5 linked regions of the Ovis aries genome follow. The protein of the gene in region 5 interacts with the protein of the main gene of each other region in a biochemical or structural test. Links are inferred from orthologs where the notes say so. Each region holds a gene or a part of one and is shown on either strand. Other genes may lie near its edges. The genes, in order: MEF2A, DUSP10, RB1, MBP and MAPK14.

The links.
Region 1: of the proteins of MAPK14 (region 5) and MEF2A, one has a biochemical effect on the other in vitro, tested with the Homo sapiens proteins (2 studies listed by BioGRID). The link is inferred for Ovis aries from reciprocal best matches to the Homo sapiens genes MAPK14 and MEF2A.
Region 2: the proteins of MAPK14 (region 5) and DUSP10 form a complex in vitro, tested with the Homo sapiens proteins (2 studies listed by BioGRID, with this or other methods). The link is inferred for Ovis aries from reciprocal best matches to the Homo sapiens genes MAPK14 and DUSP10.
Region 3: of the proteins of MAPK14 (region 5) and RB1, one has a biochemical effect on the other in vitro, tested with the Homo sapiens proteins (3 studies listed by BioGRID and IntAct). The link is inferred for Ovis aries from reciprocal best matches to the Homo sapiens genes MAPK14 and RB1.
Region 4: of the proteins of MAPK14 (region 5) and MBP, one has a biochemical effect on the other in vitro, tested with the Homo sapiens proteins (4 studies listed by BioGRID). The link is inferred for Ovis aries from reciprocal best matches to the Homo sapiens genes MAPK14 and MBP.

What each region holds. Positions count from the first base shown.
Region 1 is NC_056071.1:6,275,176-6,278,687, forward strand, and holds part of MEF2A (myocyte-specific enhancer factor 2A), read right to left. Parts: intron 2,464-3,512; coding exon 2,337-2,463; intron 1-2,336. UniProt on the Homo sapiens protein: Transcriptional activator which binds specifically to the MEF2 element, 5'-YTA[AT](4)TAR-3', found in numerous muscle-specific genes. Also involved in the activation of numerous growth factor- and stress-induced genes.
Region 2 is NC_056065.1:24,475,595-24,479,834, reverse strand, and holds the start of DUSP10 (dual specificity protein phosphatase 10), read left to right. Parts: upstream 1-1,431; 5' UTR 1,432-1,540; intron 1,541-3,722; 5' UTR 3,723-3,765; coding exon 3,766-4,240. UniProt on the Homo sapiens protein: Protein phosphatase involved in the inactivation of MAP kinases. Has a specificity for the MAPK11/MAPK12/MAPK13/MAPK14 subfamily. It preferably dephosphorylates p38.
Region 3 is NC_056063.1:18,563,849-18,567,360, reverse strand, and holds part of RB1 (retinoblastoma-associated protein), read right to left. Parts: intron 3,279-3,512; coding exon 3,133-3,278; intron 1,663-3,132; coding exon 1,517-1,662; intron 877-1,516; coding exon 772-876; intron 149-771; coding exon 35-148; intron 1-34. UniProt on the Homo sapiens protein: Tumor suppressor that is a key regulator of the G1/S transition of the cell cycle. The hypophosphorylated form binds transcription regulators of the E2F family, preventing transcription of E2F-responsive genes.
Region 4 is NC_056076.1:2,418,083-2,422,216, forward strand, and holds the start of MBP (myelin basic protein), read left to right. Parts: upstream 1-1,324; 5' UTR 1,325-1,339; coding exon 1,340-1,529; intron 1,530-4,134. UniProt on the Homo sapiens protein: The classic group of MBP isoforms (isoform 4-isoform 14) are with PLP the most abundant protein components of the myelin membrane in the CNS. They have a role in both its formation and stabilization.
Region 5 is NC_056073.1:10,093,453-10,097,619, forward strand, and holds the start of MAPK14 (mitogen-activated protein kinase 14), read left to right. Parts: upstream 1-1,362; 5' UTR 1,363-1,364; coding exon 1,365-1,480; intron 1,481-4,167. UniProt on the Homo sapiens protein: Serine/threonine kinase which acts as an essential component of the MAP kinase signal transduction pathway.

The sequences.
Region 1 (3,512 bases), on a different chromosome or scaffold from region 5:
TTCATTAGTTGGACTATCATATTGTGTGGTGGCCCCATGAGTGCTGTAGTTAAGTGATCATACAAAACAAATATAGTCATGATACCGCTCTGCTTAAAACCTTTTTATGGCTTCCCAATGCTTTCAAGATCATGTCCAAAAGTCCTCAGCAAGGTGTATGCATCCCAACCTGCCTCTGTGGTTTCAACTCTACAGCCATCCAGACCCATCAGCCATGCTCCTGCTGTCTCTGCACACAGAGCTCCCCATTCCTGGAGCACTCTCCCTACTCTGCCTGGCTGAGGCAGGTCCAAGCCTCTTCAGGTCAAAGCTTCAGTATGGCCCTTAACACGAAGGTGATAAATTACTCCTAGAGCTATTTGTCTTGTGTGTTTCTCCTCTGATAGACCCTACGTTCCATTGTTAACTGTGCTCCTGTGTATTTCCAGTGCCTGACACAGTGCTTGTCACACAGAACACACTCTATATCTGTGCTGAATGGATCCATGAATAAGTTGAGAAGCTGGGAGTGATCTTACAGATGGGCATGAGGAAGTGTCTATATGATTCCTCTACACAGAACTACTGTACTTTTTGAAATGTTGCTCACTTATTCATCCCTGTACTGACTAACTGGCACTTGTTTGATTCTTAACTATGTACAGAAAGGTAGTTGATATACTAATGAAAGACAAATTATAGATGCATGTTTTAAAAAGATAAATACATTAAAGATAATGTGGTAACATTAAACAGAACAGGTGCTCTGAGAGAGAAGTAAGTAGTTACAGGAGTGAGACTGATAAGGGATGGTTTCAAGAGAATGTGACTCCATTTCTGTGTTTTGGTAATTGCTTCTGGACTTTGGAAAAAATATTCTTTAAAGCCAATGGCATTTCTAAAAACAAATATAGTGGGATATCTAAGTTTTCTATTGGAAAAACCTGTCATGAAATGCTCAGTAAACTGTAATGTAACGGTGACACCCAGCTCAAGAACCATCTCCTTGGCCAACGCTCCTCTGAACATTCTAGCTCACAAATTTTCTACCTTCCTCACCTTCTCAAGATCAGAGTATAAACTGGTAACCTCAACAACTCAGGACTTCCCCTCCATAGGTTACCAGCTTGGGTATGTCTCCTTTTCCAGAATAAACCTGGGAGAAAATGTATGTCCCTAGACCAGTGTTGCTCATATAGCTGGTGACCAGGGCAATGAAACAGAATTTCTATGAACATATAATCCCTGGGTTTACTCTAGATTTAGTTGATGGATTTGGATATTTTTTTTAATATTGACTGTTGGAAAAGGTAGTAGACATTTCCTAAGAAGCTTTCTTTTCAACAAAACCATTTAAAGTTGTTTTTGTTTTAAAAGAACTACTTGGAATTAAAGCAGCAATCAAATGTATCAATGGCTCTGCACCCCTCAGGGAGCTCCACAGATCAGGGTGAAAGACTGTGCTACAGCATTTACCCTGAAGTCTGAAATTAGATGATCTTTATTCATCTGTTTATCAGAATCACAAAAGAATAAATGCCCTGCCCTGTGGTCTCTGAAAAACTGGCAAGGTATTTTTAACTCTTTCCCTCGCTCCTCCACCTTTTGAGGCATCAGGTGTTTGGCTCAGCTAGTGAGAAAGGGAAGCTCCCCGACGTGTCCTCTGCCAATCCCTAAATGGCACATCTAGAGAAACCGTCATACACTGGGCTCTCCACACAGTGAAAGCACCCCTCCAATCACTGCAGTATTTTTAAACTTACCTAATATACTCTCTAAATAGGGTATTTGTGGATGAAAAGTCTAAATTACATGAATGAGTGAAAAGCTCGCCTCAGAGGTGAGGAGTGACTGGCTTTGAAGAGAAGTAAGAAAGCTCCTGGTCTTGCCCCCGAGGCACAAACAGTATAAACCAAATGGGCTATCACATGGAGGAAACTGTGACCTGCTGACACAGCCACCTAGATCCACCTCCCTGAGTCCTGAGGTCCCAAGGGATGCAGCCTTTCCCGAGGCAGGTTGACATAGCATACAGAAAAACATCTTATTTCAGAAGCTTGGAAGAGTGAGATGCTATGTAACAAGAACTACATAGAAAACACCAACTGTTTTGCTCCGTTTGCTGTGCGTCATAATTTGATAACAGCTAGCTGTCTCTCAGGGGTAAGCAGAAGTTCATGCTGGGGAATCTTTCTATAATCAATGTGTACAATGTATTTCATTAACATATCCAACTGTGAATCTAAGAAACTTGAAATAATTTATTTCAATAAATATATATTTTTTTAAATCACAAAAGCACACACTGAAACAAAACAAAGCAAAAAACCCCACAAAAGGCAACAGGGCAGGCTCACCTGTGTTGTAGGCGGTCGGCATTGCTGAGTACACCAGGCCCTGCGGAGGCAGGCTTGGAGTTGTCACAGACACCACTGGGGTAGCTAGGGGTTGAGTGGCTTGAGAACTGCTTATCCTTTGGGTATTCTGTGAGAGAGTAGAAAAAAGTGTTATTCTATGAGTATTTATATTTAAGCTTAATATTTAAAATAGAATGTTCAATTTAAAAGTGACATTTTTCACAGTTTTATGATGTGAACATCATTCCCTGAAGCAAGTGATCATGTGAAAACTTTAAAAATACTAATGAGAATAACTAAATATTTAATTTTAAGGGATGTGTTTTGCATTAATCATTCATTTTCCCCTAGTGCCTTTTTCAGAGAGTTTATTGATGTCAGAGATACATCCTTAAAATAGAAACTTGCATTAGAGCTGATAACACTTATATGCTAACATAAATGAGGACTTGAGGCCCCAACTTATAAAGACTGCCAGGCTACCCTACCTAAGTAAGATATGTGTAGATTTTAAATACCTGAGGATAGCAAGGTTATCTGTGTATATAGAGATTATAAGTCCACGAGAGTCCAAGAGAGTTCAAAACTACTTCTATTTGCTGGATTTACAAGTTAACAGGGTTTTAAGTCATAGCTTACTAAACTGCAGCTTGTATTCATATTTCCTTCCCCGAGATCCTGCAGTAAACACACAAATATGTATATGTGTATGTATTTAGATATAAATTTTTATTAAGATTTTTTTAAAGAACAGTTTTAGGTTCACAGAAAAATTGATGAAAAGGTACAGAGATTTACCATATACTCCCTGACCCTATCTATACATGCAGAGCCTCTCCCATCATCCGCCATTGACCTGTTTTTTAATGGCAGACTCAGCCATGTATCCCTTCTCCGGACGCTTATGAATGGAGAAGCTTTGAGTAGAGAGTTTTAAAATAAAATATAATACTTCTGATAGGGCTGCGGATGACCAGCGGTAAATGCTTGCTGACCGACTGCATCTACACAGCATCCCATCTACAGTGGGAGTGAAACAAAATGAACTACAGAATAATCAAGTCAGTTTAAGACAGTCACCATTCTGTAAGGGTATGGGTATCAAAGAGCAGTTTCTCACAATGCTGCCTCAAGCAAACACGTTCTAAAACTGAGAATCAGCGAAACAGAGACTCC
Region 2 (4,240 bases), on a different chromosome or scaffold from region 5:
TCCAAACCCCCTGTTTTGCTCAGATGGTCACCTCTGACCGCGACCCCTCCGGCGACGAAATACAGGAGAACCTAGAGGGGCGGCGCCGCCTCCAGTTCTCCGTCGGCTCCACTCAAGCTGGTTATTTCTTCTCAGCTCCAGCTCCTTTCCTCCAGCCGCTGCTGTTCCAGAAGCTCCGGGCTGTTGGGTCCTCGGCTCCCAGGGGCCCTACACGGTGGCGGGCAACTGAGGAGGGGCGAGGGGAAGGCGGGCCTCGGGCCGGTAGCGCGCAGCTCTGCGGAGCGCGGCGCGGGGACCTTGCTCGCTGGGTGGAAGAGGGGGCGCTAGCGGGCAGGAGGCCTTGCCCGGGGGCCGGGGCGGGCGCGCGGGCTCTGGGGTGACGCCTGTGCAGCCCCTCGGGGACGCGCCCTCTGTAGCTTCTGACTGGGAACCAGACTGCCGCCTCCGAGCAGCCCTCCGCATCACTGCCTTCGAGCTACGGGTGGAGCCCCGGGAGGCAGGCGAGGGAAGCGGGGGCGTGACTGGGGCGCTGAAGTAGGCGAGCCACAGGGCGCCGCGCCACAGCCGCGCCGGGCAGCAGTAGGGCAGCCGGAGGGGCAGCGACATCTGCGGGCGGGCGGTCGATGCTTTCTGGCGGCGCGGAGCAAGCGGGGCGGCCCCGAGGACTCGGGCCGCGGCGAGGCTGGCGGGCCTCACTGCCGGTGGACGGACGGCAGACTTGCCAGTCCCGCTGGAGCCCAGGCCTCCAGCGCGTGGCCCCGGGCTCAGACTGTAGAAGAAGCGATGTCCCTGGCCGCGCTCTTACATTTATCCCCCTGCTCGGGTAGCTGGGCGACGTCCGTGAATCTTCGGTTTATCAGGTCACCTCGAGGGACTCAGGGAACCCGTTTTTCCAGCTGGGGATAGTGATTATTGTCGTTGCCTCTTGCCTTCAGAAAGTTATTCTGACACGGTTGATCAGCCAGCCAGAGTAAGAAGGGAAAATAAACAGCGTGGTCTGTCCCTTGGTGAGGCGATGTACAGGGATCCCGCCAAGTTCGCAGAGCCAGTTTTAGGCGGAGCGGCAAACACAGCCCATTGACAATTCAGCCCCGGAAAGGGTTAACTGCATCCTGCGGGTTCGGTTTACATGTAAATAGAGAGCAGCTGCTCCGCGCGGGCCCCAGTTGGCCCTTTTAAGTTTTTGATTGGTTGCCAATGACATCACCGTCCGTATTATAACACAGTGGACCCAAAGCGGCGTCGGATAAACCCTCCTTAAAGAGCCATGGCCACGCCCCGGCTCCGCCCCCTCCAGGTGCCCATTGGTCGCGGGCTGCAGCGAAGTAGCGGTCAGGTTTCTCCGGATTCTTATTGGTTCAACACGCCGTCGGTCGGCAGCCGGCCCGCCCCCTCAGAACCTTACATTTACAGTGTAGCAAAAGAGAAAGTAACTATGTTGCTGCTGGAGATCAATGAAGCCTAGTGAATGAGGGCTGAATGTGCGAATCCCTTGCTGAAGCGGAGCGCCAGATGGTGGAGGGTTACACTTATTTATGAAGTAAGTGGAAGTCACCGTGGCTACTCCTGAGAGTCCAGGGGTTTGAGGCGGTGTGAGTGTGAGTGAGTATGTATGTGGTGTGTGTGTGCGCGTGTGTGTTGCGATGTTTACGGAGGAGCCACAGCAGGTGAGGTTAAAGTGTTCCCGCTGTTGGCTCACGCCGCCCTGTGCGTTTACTCTCTCTGCAGTCTACTTGGACTGGGGGCGAAGGAAAAAATGAGGTTTGTTGGGATGCTTTGCGGCAGTTTTAAAGGCCAGGGACTTGTTAGTGCGCTGTGTTGCGAAGGAGGATGTTAAGTGCCCCGAAGTGGGGAAGCAGCATTCTCTGACCACTTAATTTTCTTTCCAGCCGCTAACTAGAGGTGGAAGGGCGACTAGAGAGGGAGGGGGATAGCTCAGTGTTTTTCGGGGAGGTTTCCTACAGGCTGTCTGGATGGTTTCACGGGCAATAGATATGCCCGACCCTCTGCTGCAGGGATGCAGGTCTCTTTATACACTCCGTGCGTGTGTGTATGTGTGTGTGAGAGAGAGCGAGCGTGTGTGCGCGCCGCGCACTCTGTGTGGAGGTGGGGGTCCCAGCTTATGTCTCCGTGAGCACGCTTCTGCGTCCCTCTCAAGGGAAATGGACTGTTGATCCTGGGACGTACCCTACCAGGTAACACAACAGCAAAGACTTTTCACCGCTGGGTCCAGCTGGGAAACAGTTATAGCTTCTGGAATAGTACTCGCTCTTCAAAAAATACTACGCAAGGGAGGAAGGGGCGGGGGAGGGAGGGAAGAAAGGAGAAAGGGAGGGAGAACAGGGGTTGGATTCTTCTTGCCCATCCAAAGGTGGTGAGAGAAAGCTGAGGCCAGCGGGGGGATCTGTGGATGTGATAGGTGCGTGCCCGTGTGTGTGTGTGTGTGTGTGTGTGTGTATTCTGCCTGTGACATTTTGGCTCTGTGTCTGAGAATGGTGACAGTCCTGTGTAGAGGGATGTTGGATGACATTTTTCCAGACATCTCTTAAAGTTGGTTTAGATGAGCTCCTCTTGCATGGCGTTTGGTGTCTCCTCTGTGTGTATGTCTAGCAGGAGAGGAGCCAGCAGGGCCCGGGAGTGGAGTGCCTCTATGCCCATGGGGAGGAAGGAACTGTCCCTTTGCAGGTACCCTCTCATGAGCCAGGACATAGACCCCTGTGGGTGACTCTTTACTTCTCACTGGGAAGTCTTTATGAATCCATCCTCTTGAAGAGGGGGCACGTCTGTGTGAGATCAAAAGATTATGCATAGTGGCTGCCTTCTGCTGAGAGAAGCTCTAGGATGTTCCTGTAGGGAAAGGAGGAGAATGGAGGGTTGAAGTGGTCCTTTCCTTAAAGGCAGGAGTGGAGTGGGTGGTGTGGCAAGGGAGACATCTGAGGGATGGATCTGTCAGGGTCAGGGTTTTCAAACCTGCTTCCCTAGCTTGAGGCTTCATTTTAGGGGACCAGTATGTAATGAAAGAGGAAATGCAGATTACTTTATAAATAAGAGGGCAATAGGAAACAAGGGAGGTTTTAATATGACTTTGTTGTGCTTTTCAAAGGACTTGGGAGAAAGAAAAGTAAGAATAGCTCAAAATTAAAGAGATTCACTTAGAGGGCTACTTTCATTCTGATGTGCAGAAAGTTGACATCTGCCCCTGATGTATATTTAGCTGCTGTATATTCCCATGAGCCTTGCCAGCACTCTTGGTCATTCCTTTGCCTTTGCAGTGGCTGAAGGAATTACATGGAAAGTATGCAAGGGTGGACGTATGGGTCCTTCTCAGATGATTGCAGTATATTTCTGCCCTGGAGATGAGGCCCAGAAGAGATGCCTCTTAAGAACCTTCCCTTCCATCTTGAGCTTTTCTGATCCTTTGTGCTTGTACTTTTTCTAAGGCTGAACTTGGATGTGGGTCCATGAAAGGTTGTTCAACATTTGCATAGACTATATCTAACCTTAGACTCAGCAAGGACAGGGGGTGGGGAGGGGGATGGTCCTCAGGCGTGCATCCTCTTTGAATCCATAGTGGTGAGTGTCAAGCTTTGAGTGACAGGAAACTGGGCACTTAGGACAACTTCACTAAGAGGGATGCAAAGTCCTTTCCTAGGGATTGGATTCGACTGCTTTTTGTGTCACATGACTTTATTCTTTCTTTCCCCCCCTCCCCTTCTTTACAGACTGTCTTGAGTTCTTCTTGAATTGCCAGTTTTCAGCCTCCTCATGCCTCCGTCTCCTTTAGACGACAGGGTAGTGGTGGCACTGTCTAGGCCCGTTCGACCTCAGGATCTCAACCTTTGTTTAGACTCTAGCTACCTTGGCTCTACCGCCCCTGGCAGTACCAGCCACCCTCCTGTCATCGCCACCACCGTTGTGTCCCTAAAGGCTGCGAATCTGACGTATATGCCCTCATCCAGCGGCTCTGCCCGCTCCCTGAATTGTGGGTGCAGCAGTGCCAGCTGCTGCACTGTGGCAACCTACGACAAGGACAATCAGGCCCCAACCCAGGCCATTGCCGCTGGCCCCGCCACCACTGCCATCGGAAGCTCCACCACCTGTCCTGCCAGCCAGATGGTCAACAACAATGAGAATGCAGGCTCTCTAAGTCCATCAGGTGGGGTGGGCAGCCCCGTGGCAGGGACCCCTAAACAGCTAGCCAGCATCAAAATAATCTACCCCAATGACTTGGCCAAGAAGA
Region 3 (3,512 bases), on a different chromosome or scaffold from region 5:
AGATTTGCCCAAATAAAGGATGCCTTCAACATACCCTGGTGGAAGCATACTGCAGAATATTTGTTTTCAGTCTCTGCATGAAGACTGAATTATAGAATACGATAATGGAATCATACTCCTCTTCTCTGATCAAAACACGTTTGAATGTCTGAGGAAGAAGAGCAAAAATACTTGTTAAATGAATTTGGGAATTTATCTCTTTAGAGTTTCTATTTTAATAGTTCATGATACTTTTTAACAGTAAAAAGATGCATTACTTTATAGGAAAAAACAATCTAAAGAAGCCATTTTAGGCTTGGATTATAGCTGTTCTACTGGAAGTGAAAAGTCATACATATATACTGTATGTGTTTTATGTATATATATATATATGTTTATTACAAATATTCTGCTTATTGGCATAATACAGTGTTCCCTATTTATTTTATAATATGAATTTGAATATTAAAGTGTTAGCTTCCCAACTGGAGAAAGAAATGGCAACCCACTCCAGTGTTCTTGCCTGGAGAATCCCAGGGACGGGGGAGCCTGGTGGGCTGCCATCTACGGGGTCGCACAGAGTCGGACACAACTGAAGCGACTTAGCAGCAGCAGCAGCAGCTTCCCAATTACATTTTAACTACAAATAATTAACTAATAATATGAAAATTAAAAGTGGACATGTAAATTTATACAAATCAGTCAGAACATATGGTACAATTAATGACTAAAGTTATCCGTATTATAGATAATGGATATTTTTGAAAACTCTTATCATGGAAAATTACCTACCTCCTGAACAGCATGAGGAAGATCTTTGTACGCTGTGACAATGATTTTGAATTTAAGGTCTATATTCTTCACTTTGCATATGCCATACATGGAACACATCATAATCTAGTAAATGAATTTGATACAAAAGCAGTCAGGGTTTTGCTACATGGCTGTGCTCAGAGGATGAGATGGCTGGATGGCATCACCGACTCAATGGATATGATGAGTCTGAGTGAACTCCAGGAGTTGCTCATGGACAGGGAGGCCTGGCGTGCTGTAGTCCATGGGGTGGCAAAGAGTCAGATATGACTGAGCGACTGAACTGAACTGTGGTCTAAAACACACTGTTATCTTTCTTTCAGTTAAAAAAAAAAAGGAAATTTAATCTCCCACAGAATTATCTTTTCCTGTCCTGAGCTCATTTGGCACTGTTTTAGATCAACTATTCTTACGCCTCATGCTTTTTCCACACCTAATGAATTCTAGTTTACAACAACACAGAAAACGCCTATGATAAAATTTCTTCAGTGGTTTCTGCAACAAGAGCTTTCATGTCATGAAATAAGTAAATACTGAAATATTCTCAAACTCTAAAGCTCTCATTTGTAAAAAATACAGCAAAAATATAAAGGGTAGCCAGTAAGCAAATATATGTTAACTACATTGATGCAGCTTCTCATTTGAATCCAAACTTTTCTTAAGAAATCAGTACATAGCTAACAAGTAAGCAGGAGAAGAAAAGAGAAGTGCATAATTTCCTTACCTGGTCCAAATGCCTGTCTCTCATGAGTTCATACTCATTTTGCAGTGTGTGCTGGAAAAGGGTCCAGATGATATGCTCTAGCTCTGGGTGGTCAGACAGAAGGCGTGCACACAGGGTGTTCAGTCGAAGATATGCTAGTCGATACACTGGAAAAATAAGGGGAATTAATCATATTTACTCTTAATTTTGTATCACAGGTAGATATTTTCAAAATATTAAACTGTTATAATAAAATGCTGTTAAATAGCATTTAACGTTGACTTATGATTTCTCACTATTTTCCTTATGATTTCTAGTCTTAGGACTATTCTACATACACAGAAGGCAAAACAATATTTGGCTGAAAATACTATTCAGCAAAAATAATTCTTTTGCTGAATTATTATAGCATAAAGTTGAAGCAGAAATGAAAATCAGAGGAAGAAAGATCCTAAGATACTGTGAAATTAGACAACCCAAATACTGTTTGTTTCAGTTTCATTGGTAATCACTCATCACAGATGTTGAATACTTTATCAATATTCAAGAGTAATTATTTTTTAAAATAACAGAATTTCCAAACTCCCTTAATTTTTTCAATCCTGAAAACAAAAAACAAATAGTGTATTTCTCTATAAAAATGCTAGACTTGTAGATTGCCTAAGTGGTAATATGACTGTGATATTAAATATATTGCGCAAGTTTATTTAAAAATACTACTGGAACACAGGTTGGAGAAAAGTAATCCACAAAACTGAATTTTCCTCCATCTGGTTTAAATGCACCTGTCAAAGACTTGCATAAAGTAATCAGAATTTTTTAGTTAATAATTTATCCCACTGGCACTGGTCTTCAACTTTGGCTTACATCAGACTTGCACTGAGGACTTGTTAAAACAAGGATTATTTCCTCATCCTACTAGAGTCTCTGATCGAGTAGTTCTAGCATTAGGGGCTCAAACAAAAATTCTCCTTTCTGCAGCTTATCGAGTAAGGTGGATTCTGCTGGTTGGGGACCACACTTTGGAACCACTGCTTTAATTCAAGGACTTATAACATGCCTATAAAGCTCAGTATATTTGCTTTATCCAAGTCAGAAATAAGATTTATCACAGAGGAATCTGGCCTTCTACCTTTCTTCAAAGAGCTTCAAGTGGGTGTGCACTTGCATGTACATGCACAGACACCCAAATGACCTCCCCACCCCATCACACACACACAATCAGAAAATGCTGTACAACCTGGTCACCAGGAAATGCATCTGCATTAGGCCACAACCCATTGTATAATCCCAACGTACACATCTCAACAGAGGAAGTAATGTTAGGGGCAAATATTTCCGAGCATAAATTTGAAAGCGTAACAGTAAGCAGCAACAATAACAACATCTGACACTTTCTGAGTGCTTACTATGTGCTAGACACTCTTGGAAGCATTTTATGTATTCATTCACTTAATTATCTCAAAACCCAAATAAGGTAGGTTATTATTATTTCCATTTTACGGATGAGGAAACTGAGGCATAGAGCTTTTAAAGTGACTTGCCCAAAGTCATACCTAGTAAGCCGAAGAGCAAAGATTTGAATCCAGTCAGCCTGGTTTCAGAGTCCACGATCTTCAAAGTAATCATCTACTAACCTTTTTTGTAGAAGAGTGAAAGGGAGGTAGATTTCAATGGCTTCTGAGTCTGGAAGGCTGAGGTTGCTTGTGCCTCTGAATTTGGAGTAGAATTTGCACGTGGAGTTGACGCTTTTTTCTTTGGGGATCTTACAGGAGAAAGGTACCTAGATATATTCAAAGGAAAAGTCTTCATGTGAAGTTTTCTCAGAATCTCTCTCTTTCACAGATACACAAACACACACAGCTGGACACATGCATCCAAACACATCTTGTCTATTTAATCCACTGTTTTACACCAAAGTCCTATTTAAATACAAGTTGGAAAAGAGAGCTTATGAGGAAAACTAGGCTTGCTGTTATCATTTCTAACCCTATTTTAATAAATGGCCTTTCCTAGA
Region 4 (4,134 bases), on a different chromosome or scaffold from region 5:
TGCTGGCATCGGTGACGTTTCTACAAGCAGGCAGCAGGGCAAACATTGCTGCTCCCCTGTGGCCTGGGCTCCCCAGTGTTCAGCCCTCACTGACCTGTGCAGGTCAGAAGGCCATCCTCCTGTTTCCTGGTCACTCCAGGAAGACATCTGGGGGAAGCAGATGAGATGTGGTTTGTGATGCTCAAGTGAAAGTCGCTCAGTCATGTCCAGCTCTTTGCAGCCCCATGGACTGTAGCCCAGCCAGGTTCCTCTGTCCGTGGGATTTCCCAGGCAAGAATACTGGAGTGGGTTGCCATTCCCTTCTCCAGGGGATCTTCCAGATACAGGGATCGAACTGGGGTCTCCTGCATTGCAGGTGGATTCTTCACTATCTGAGCCACCTAAAACTGACTTCCATGTGGAACCTAGTATATATGGGGGTGGGGGGTGGGTTGCATTTTAAGAGTGACTGGAGTCAGGGACCTGGGAGTCAGGGAGCTTCTGGGGTCTGTCAGTGCCCTGAGCGTCCTTGGATTCCTCCAGCTCCCCTACCGGCACCCAGCCACCCTCTACTGCAAGGAGGGAAGGCCCCACAGAAAACCGGGAAACAGGTAAACTTCACCTTCTGCACAGCCCGCGTCACTGCTCAGCTGTCTTCCTGACCTCCCATCTCCAACTCCAGAAACCCCCAGACGAATCTTTTCCGAGGAAAGAAGCAAATGTTTCTGCAATGGTGGACACCGTTCTGGTGGCATTACCAGCCCTGGAACGTGGTTCACAGACCCCCGGTTTGTGAGGGCTGGCTGGGACAGGTGGCCCTGAAGCCACACTGGGCGCTGGCTCTCCTCGCGCGCTCTGCCCGCCCAGGAGACCCGGGTTGAGCCTTGCCAGGGGTCAGACTTCCGCTCCCCCGGGGAAACAGTGAGGGTCCCCGCCGGCTCCCGGGAACTATCAGATCAGACCCCCGACCTGGAATCTAAGTCGTGAGGACTCCAGCGTCTCCCCCAACGCCTCCTATTTTTCCACCATCAGGAGGTCGAGAATCCGGGGTGGGGGTCGGGGGAAGGGCCATCTGACTGTGTGCAGGTGACTGACGTCCAAAGGACAGTCTTCCTTCGGACCAAGAACTCGACACTGACCGCAAGCCAACAGATGCTCAGGCCGCAGACCCCGGGGCGCGCCCTCCCGCTGTGGCGCCGCTCTCCGGCGAGCACCTGTCTGTAGGCTGGATGCACGAGGACCTCCGGGCGTTCTCAAGGGGCCAGTCTTGCGGCGGCCCTGAACCCCGAGCCCGCGCAGCAGAGTCAGCCGGGCGGCCGCGCTTGGCCCCTCGCCGCCCGCGGAACGGGGCGTGGAGCAGATGCTATCGCTGGTCCCTCCCCGCGCTCGGGCGGGGTGGTTCGCAGGCTCAGCCGCGAGCGGAGGCTCTAGAGCCGCAGTTCAGCCCGGGCCGGAGTCCGCGCCGCCCAGGGCAGCCCCGCGCGGGGCCCGCGTGCGCCCGGAGCCCGCGAGGCGGAGCCGCGGAGAGGCGGTCGGCGCGCGGGCGGCAGGTGGGAGGCCCGGCTCCCGAAGGCAGTGTTTACCTGGCTCGCAGGAAGCCCGGGAGGCGGGGGAGGAGCGGCGGGCGCGCCGGGCCCTCGGAGCTGCAGCCAGACTGCGCCGCCGCGCCAGCGAGGACGAGCCTGCGGCCCCGGCGACCGCGGCCGCGACCCCGAAGGCGGCGCCGGAGCCCCGGGACCCCGCGCGCTTGGGGCCCCGGCGGCGGGAGGCGGCCCGGACCCCGCGGCGCCCGCGGCCTGGAGAGACGATCGCCGCGCGGTGGGTGACCTCGCCGGGGGCGGGCGGGTGCCTTTGTCTGCGCCCTCGGAGCGGGGACGCGGGAACGGGGCGCAGGGCTTCCCCGGGCGGCCGCGCAGGTGGCGGCAGGTGGCACCCGGGCGGCCACTCTGCGAGGGGTGAGCGCGGGTGTAGACGCCGACCCGGAGCGGCGGGGCTGTCCCCGACGGGTGTCCAGGTGTGGGCAAGGCCGGGTCGGGGGCCGGGGTCGCGGGCAGAGCGTAGGAGGCGCTCGGGGTGGAGTTTTGGGTGGGAGGTGGCAAAGGTCAAGGAGGCCACCCTGGGCGGTGCGGGACCGCTGCGAGCTTCAGGGCAGGCCGGGGTACCCGCCGCTTAACGCGCCCCGTAAGGATACGTCTGGAGCTTACCGCCGACTCCTGCCTGCCCCCTCCCCCAGCCCGGGCGAAAACCAGTTTCCCTTTGAACGCCGAGGGCGGCGACAGGCGACGCTCCGGGCTTCCGCCTTCCGGAGGCCTGGCCTGGCTCCGCCGCGCCGCCGCGTCCACCTGCGCCCACCTGCGCGCCTGGCGCCCGGGTGTGAAGCCCCCCCTGGGCCCGGGACTGGCCGGCGTCCCGAGGGTGCCGCGTGCTCTGCACGATCCCCAGGCACCCGGTGGCTCTGGCTCCTCTGGACTGCTGGGGGCACTGCCTCGTTTCTCCCAGGCTCTCCTTTCTCCTCTCCTTTCGGAAGGCAGAGGGTGGGGTTGGAGAAGCCTTGGAGTTTCTCTGGGGATCTCAGTAGGACTCTGGCAGGAAACAAGCGCCTTTGGGTTTCTGGTTCTCTGTTTTCCAGTAGCGACAAGGTGAGGGAGTCCATACCGTGAGTTCACAACCTCTGCAGCGCGGCTGGAGTGTGTCTGGGGAGACCCAGACCCGGTTGGGGGCGCTGGCTGTTCTGACAGGGACTCCACACCTGGCCTGGAGAGATTCTCAGAGGAAGGGCGCTTTAGGGTGTGTCCCATTTAAGACATGTGGCTTTTGGACAAGACCCCCCAGCCCAGGGAAACGGTTTGCAGAGTATGGCCCAGGAGTCTGCGACACCCCGAGAGCTGGGCTCAGTCCTGCCCCCGGCTCCCTGGCAGAGTCACGCTGGAGTGCTGGGGGCCTTCGTGGACGTGGGGAGCTGAGAGGGGTGCAGACCCAGACGGAGCTAGGCCGGAGCAGCCCTTCAGGAAGGGATGGTCAGCACTGGGTCGCAGCCTCACAGCTGTTTCTCCCAGTTCAGGGGAGGGGCCGTCTGTTCTCCAACTTTTTTTTTTTTTTCCAAATGGGATAAACCAAAACCTGAAAGGAGGGAATCCAGTTAAATATTATGTAAAATGGTGGCTGATAGTAGCTCCCAATGGTTTAACTGTTCCGAAATGACTACCTTTACTAACTCAGGGTTAAACAAAAGCTATTTGGTTCAAATTCACTTTAAAAACTTTCCAAACTATCCCATTTCTGCCCAAAGACAAGAACACTTTTGAGTCACTTGTGCTGTGATTTGGTGTTGAACCGCTCCAGCCTGGTTTGGACTGGGAATGGCTCTGGCCACTTGCCCTGAGGAAAGGCATCCATGAAGGCGGAAAAGGGCAGAGACCAAGGTTTCTGGCGATTCTTCCTTTTTCCTCCTGAATTTTTAAACATTAATGGGAGGTTACGTTGTTTGACTTTTAGTTTCTCTCTCGAGTCTTTAAAAATCTGACACTGGATCACAGCTGTCCCTGGGCCTTTTCTCCCCAGGTATCCAGGTAGCGTTTCTGACCACTTCCCAGTGGCCAGGCCATCTTCTGAGAGCTGCGTATCATTGCATTAACAGGTGTAATACCCTAGGATGCCCTCATTTGATGTAACTAGCCTATTAGAACTCTCATTTTCACTGAGTAGGAAACCAAGGCACAGAGATCCCCTGGGGGCGCCCAGGGCTCAGTTCCAGAAATCTGACACCAGCCCCTGTTGCTGCCCTTCAGGGCGAAGAGGGCAACTTGCAACACCCACCGAGCTGCCTTTTTCTTCTCTGGCTTCCCTGGTGGCTCAGAGGTTAAAGCCCCTGCCTGCAGTGCGGGAGACCTGGGTTTGATCCCTGGATTGGGAAGATTCCCTGGAGAAGGAAATGGCAATCCACTCCAGCATTGTTGCCTGGAGAATTCCTTGGATGGAGGAGCCTGGTGGGCGATAGTCCACGGGGTCGCAGAGAGTCGGACACAACTGAGCTTCATTTCACTTCTGTTTAAAACCCCACCACTAACGGGTGGCTACACCCAGCAAAGCGTGCTTCCTCTGCAGGGTGGTGGGACTGGAAGGCTGCTGTCTCGTCTCTGTTCGTCACCTCTTCCC
Region 5 (4,167 bases):
ATAATACCTTGCCCATTCACATTTATTATCTTGTTCAGCTTTCAGGTGGGAAATTTCAGGGCAGCAATTCTTTTTTGCATAAACTGGAACTAAGGTCTAAGAAAGGTCAATTGACTTGCCCAACAGGATACTGCCAGAAAACCACTATCTGCACTGTTCTTACTCTGAGAGGCATGATTACAATTCTTAAAACCCTCTTTGCTGGAAGCTCTTCAAGGTAGGAATCAGTTTCAAACCTTCAGGGTAAAGGTTTTAAAATGTTTCTCCAAGGGAGATACCAAGAACTTTTCTGAACCTGGCGCATTTTGTAAAAATGCACAGTCTTGGAGTCCCTCTGGGACCCATCTAATCAAACTCGCTGTTCATTTTTAAGCGCCCAAGGTGCTTCTTCTGCACGTAAAAGTTTGAGAACTACTAGAAGTGTCTGGGTGGAAAAACCTCAACCTTAATTCAGGGCTAATATTTACCTTTGAGACAGATTTCGTCAGCATTCCGAAGAGTAAGTGTATGTCCTTGAGCAGATGGGACTACAACGGCTTTCTGGCCGGAATCTTTCTCTTTTTTATGCAAGTACTTCTTGGAAATTGGGGGTTTTCCGCCGAGCAGGTGCTCAGCTGCTGGTGATTACCCACCGTTTAAAGGTCTTTTGGCTCTTTTCCCAGACACCCGATTGATTTGTCACTGTCTCTTTCCAACAGGGAGCCAAGCACTTGCCCCGCCGACCACGATGGGGCGCGCGCGGCCTGTATCGTCTGCTTCTCCGCTCCTTCCCGGGTCCGCCTTCGCGCGCTAAAGGAGAGCAATCCCTGGGAGTTCCTGCCTCTAGGGGCCAGCTGTTGCTCTCTTCTCGCGAGAATTACTTCTCCCAAGCTCTCCCTTCATCAACCCCCCTCCCGCGGGCAGGTTCCATATTGGGTAAAATCTCGGCTCGAGGAGAGGTCCGGGAGCTGTTCTCGCGAGAGCACGGCGGGAGGCTCCTGTTCGCTGGCTCTGGGAAAGGCGACCACTGGAAGCTCCGCGGGCGCTGCAGCTGGAGCTGTGACCCCGCCGCGCAGCCGGGAGTCGGCCGGGTGTGGAGAGAGCGCAGGGAGAGCTGGGCGGGGCGCCAGCCCAGGGCCCCGGAGCGTGCCCCGGCCCTTCGCAGTGCTTCCCCCGCCGTCGGTGAGGCGCGTCCAGCCGCTGCGGCTGACAGGGGCCGCGCGCGCGCGCGGGCTTCTTCAGGGTCGCCGCAGCCGCACCTGCGCGGGCGGCCAGCGCAGGGGTCCCCGCCCGGCCGGGCGGGCTACGAGGTCAGGGGAAGCGGGTGCGGGTGCAGGCGGGGCCCTGCAAGGGCCACCTCCTCGCCCCGCGGCCACCGCTGGAAGATGTCTCAGGAGAGGCCCACGTTCTACCGGCAGGAGCTGAACAAGACCATCTGGGAGGTGCCCGAGCGTTACCAGAACCTGTCCCCGGTGGGCTCCGGCGCCTATGGCTCTGTGTGGTGAGTGTCACCGGGCCGGGGGCCTCGCTGGGCCGGGTGTCTCCGTATGCCCTGGAGTCAGGCCTGCCCCCACGGCTCAGCAATGCACCCAGCGGCAGGAATTTTCCTTGGGGGGAGGGCATCCCAGCCCTCTTCGACCCCTGTCCTGCACTCCCTGTCCCCCTTGCACCCCCACCCTGCACGCCCACGTAGATGGTCAGCTGTGTGTAGGACGCAGGTCCGCTGTGGGCGGTGGGTGATGGTGTTGGAGCCGGGCCCTGACTCGCACCCTGCGCGTTCCCTTGGGGGTGGGGGTGGGGGTGGGGGGGCGGTGCTGCTACGGGGGCAGGAACAGGGGTCCCTCTTCGGAGGTCTCTCCCTGCTGGCATCGAGCAGAAGGACTCTCTCGAGATGTGCCTGCCCTCGGAGCAGACAAGCCCGGGAAGCTGCCCGGAGAAGCAGAAGGGCAAAGCTCGACTGCGGTCATCTGAACAAAACTGAGGACGAAGGGCGTTGAGTTCGGGCTTTTTTGCAAACCTCTGTCGAAATTGCATTTTGAGAAGGGTTCTTTTTGAATTCGCACTTGAATTAGCAGCTATCCAGGGAGCTTAAAATACCGACTTTATCTCGGTGAGCCCTGTGCCAGCTTGAGTGGTGTGTTTCCGATTCAGTTGAAAGCGTATTTCCTTTTCGCAGAGTGGGGGGTGGTGGTAGTGCCTGCAGCTTGAGAAGCTGGCGGCCTCGCTGATTAGTCACATACCACTGCTCATTTAAGTATTGTTTGACAAAACGATTTTCTCCTTTGGAGCAAGTGAGGTTCAGATCCGTTGGACGCCCTCAAGATCAAAAAGTTTTTAACAATGCTGCGATGTATTATAAATATTTTTTAATCGTGATAATTCTTGTGAAACACTGTGTTTTTAAAGTCCTTTAGAGGGTTTGCAGAGAACTTAATCTGCACTTAAGGCCTGAGAGGTACATAATGGTTTTCATGGGATATGGAATATATAGCAAAAGAAGGAAGAGACACTTTTCAGCTTTAATTCACACTATGAATGTCTTTTAAATGAAACGCTACTGTAAAATTTCCAGACTCAGTTCACTAACTTTTCTAACTTCTAAGGTTTTATACACTGTATTTTAGATTTTGTGTAATTTGAGAGCTGACCTGAAGCTAATTCATGTAATTCCTGTGCATGCATTATTTGCAAAGAGGTCTACAAAATTAGTTTTTTGTTTCGGGGCAGGTTCCAGGCTTTTAGACTTGGTAATCTTTGAATATAATTCCTGTGTTTCTTAAAGCCCCAGCATGAATTTCCTGTTTGGTAGAATCTTCTGGGTAATTGAGATTGTGCAATTGTGTCCAGCAACAGATCATATTGCGTTTTCTAGTTCAGGCTGCTTGAGTGATGTCGCTGATGGCCCTATGCTTGACATCTTTTTTCCATTTTTATAGCGTGCTGTTGATTCGCTAATTTTCGAAGATGTGTTTGGATCATTGCTGCTTTAATAGCTCACTTGTTTACGGCCAGTTTTCATTCTGGAATTGACACATTAATTTTTGTGGTACTGAATTTTTGTTTCCTATCATTGTTGTTTAAACTTTAGTGGAGTGATACGGCTCAACTGTGGGGAGTTAGTGAACTGCTTGCAAGGTTTCCCTACAGTTGATGTGAGTAACTCAGCCCTGGCACTGGAGATCCAGTGAAGTGCTGATAAAACATGAACTCCACATTTTTTAGTGCTTTATTTTTCTGGTTTATAGAAGCCATCAAAACTGACACTTGGAAGTAATTTTGTTAAACAGGTTTTTAAAAGTAGGTAGTACATTCACATTGTATAAAATGTAAAAGGCATAGAAAGACAGTGAAAAGTTTCCATTCTCTTTGTCCAGCTGGACTAGTTCTTTTCTCAAGAGACCACCCCTGTTAAGTTTCTTGTGTGTCTTTCTGTGGAGGCAGTTCTGCTAAGGTTGTTTAAGGTGTAACCTATAACATATTGGTGGAGAAAAATAACCAATATTATGTGACAGTTGACCGTAAACAAGTATAGTTGATTTTGGATTGAAAATATCAGAATTTACATTCACATGTGTTATCTCATTCAGAGTAGTTATTTCAAGTTGTTCTTTCAGTCAGCAGCTTTTAGGTGTGGCAGAAAAAAAAAATGTTTTTTAAACTTCTCTTAGAATCCACTTTGGAGCCTGTGTTATTTTTCACTCTCTTCATTTTTTTTTTAGAGCAGATTTGATTTTAGGAAATAACGAAGTTAGATTGAATCCAAATCATTTAGAGAATTTGGGCTCAAGTCTGGTGAAAAAGATCAGGCAGCCAGGCTGGTGATACTGTTTGAGGTCAAATAGGAGTTGTAACCGTAAAGTAATGACACAGAATTTCCTGTGGGACTTGTAGAACTGGATTGAAGTCTGTTCCAAAAAAGAATCTCTGAAAGTATTTCAAGGAATGCAACATCACTGAAATAATGTGTCAGTTTCCTAATTTGATTGCTCTGAAGTGTGATACACTTTGATGTGTTAACTTTAAAAATTAAATAATAAGCCAATTTTCAGTGTTTTCATTTGTACTAAGTATCTAGTAACGCAAGTATGATAACTAATCGTGAATGAAAGATCAAGAAATCAAAATAGAACTTTGAGTATTAGAGTTTTACAAACATACCTTTCCTTCTTAAGGGGTAAAGGGAACTAA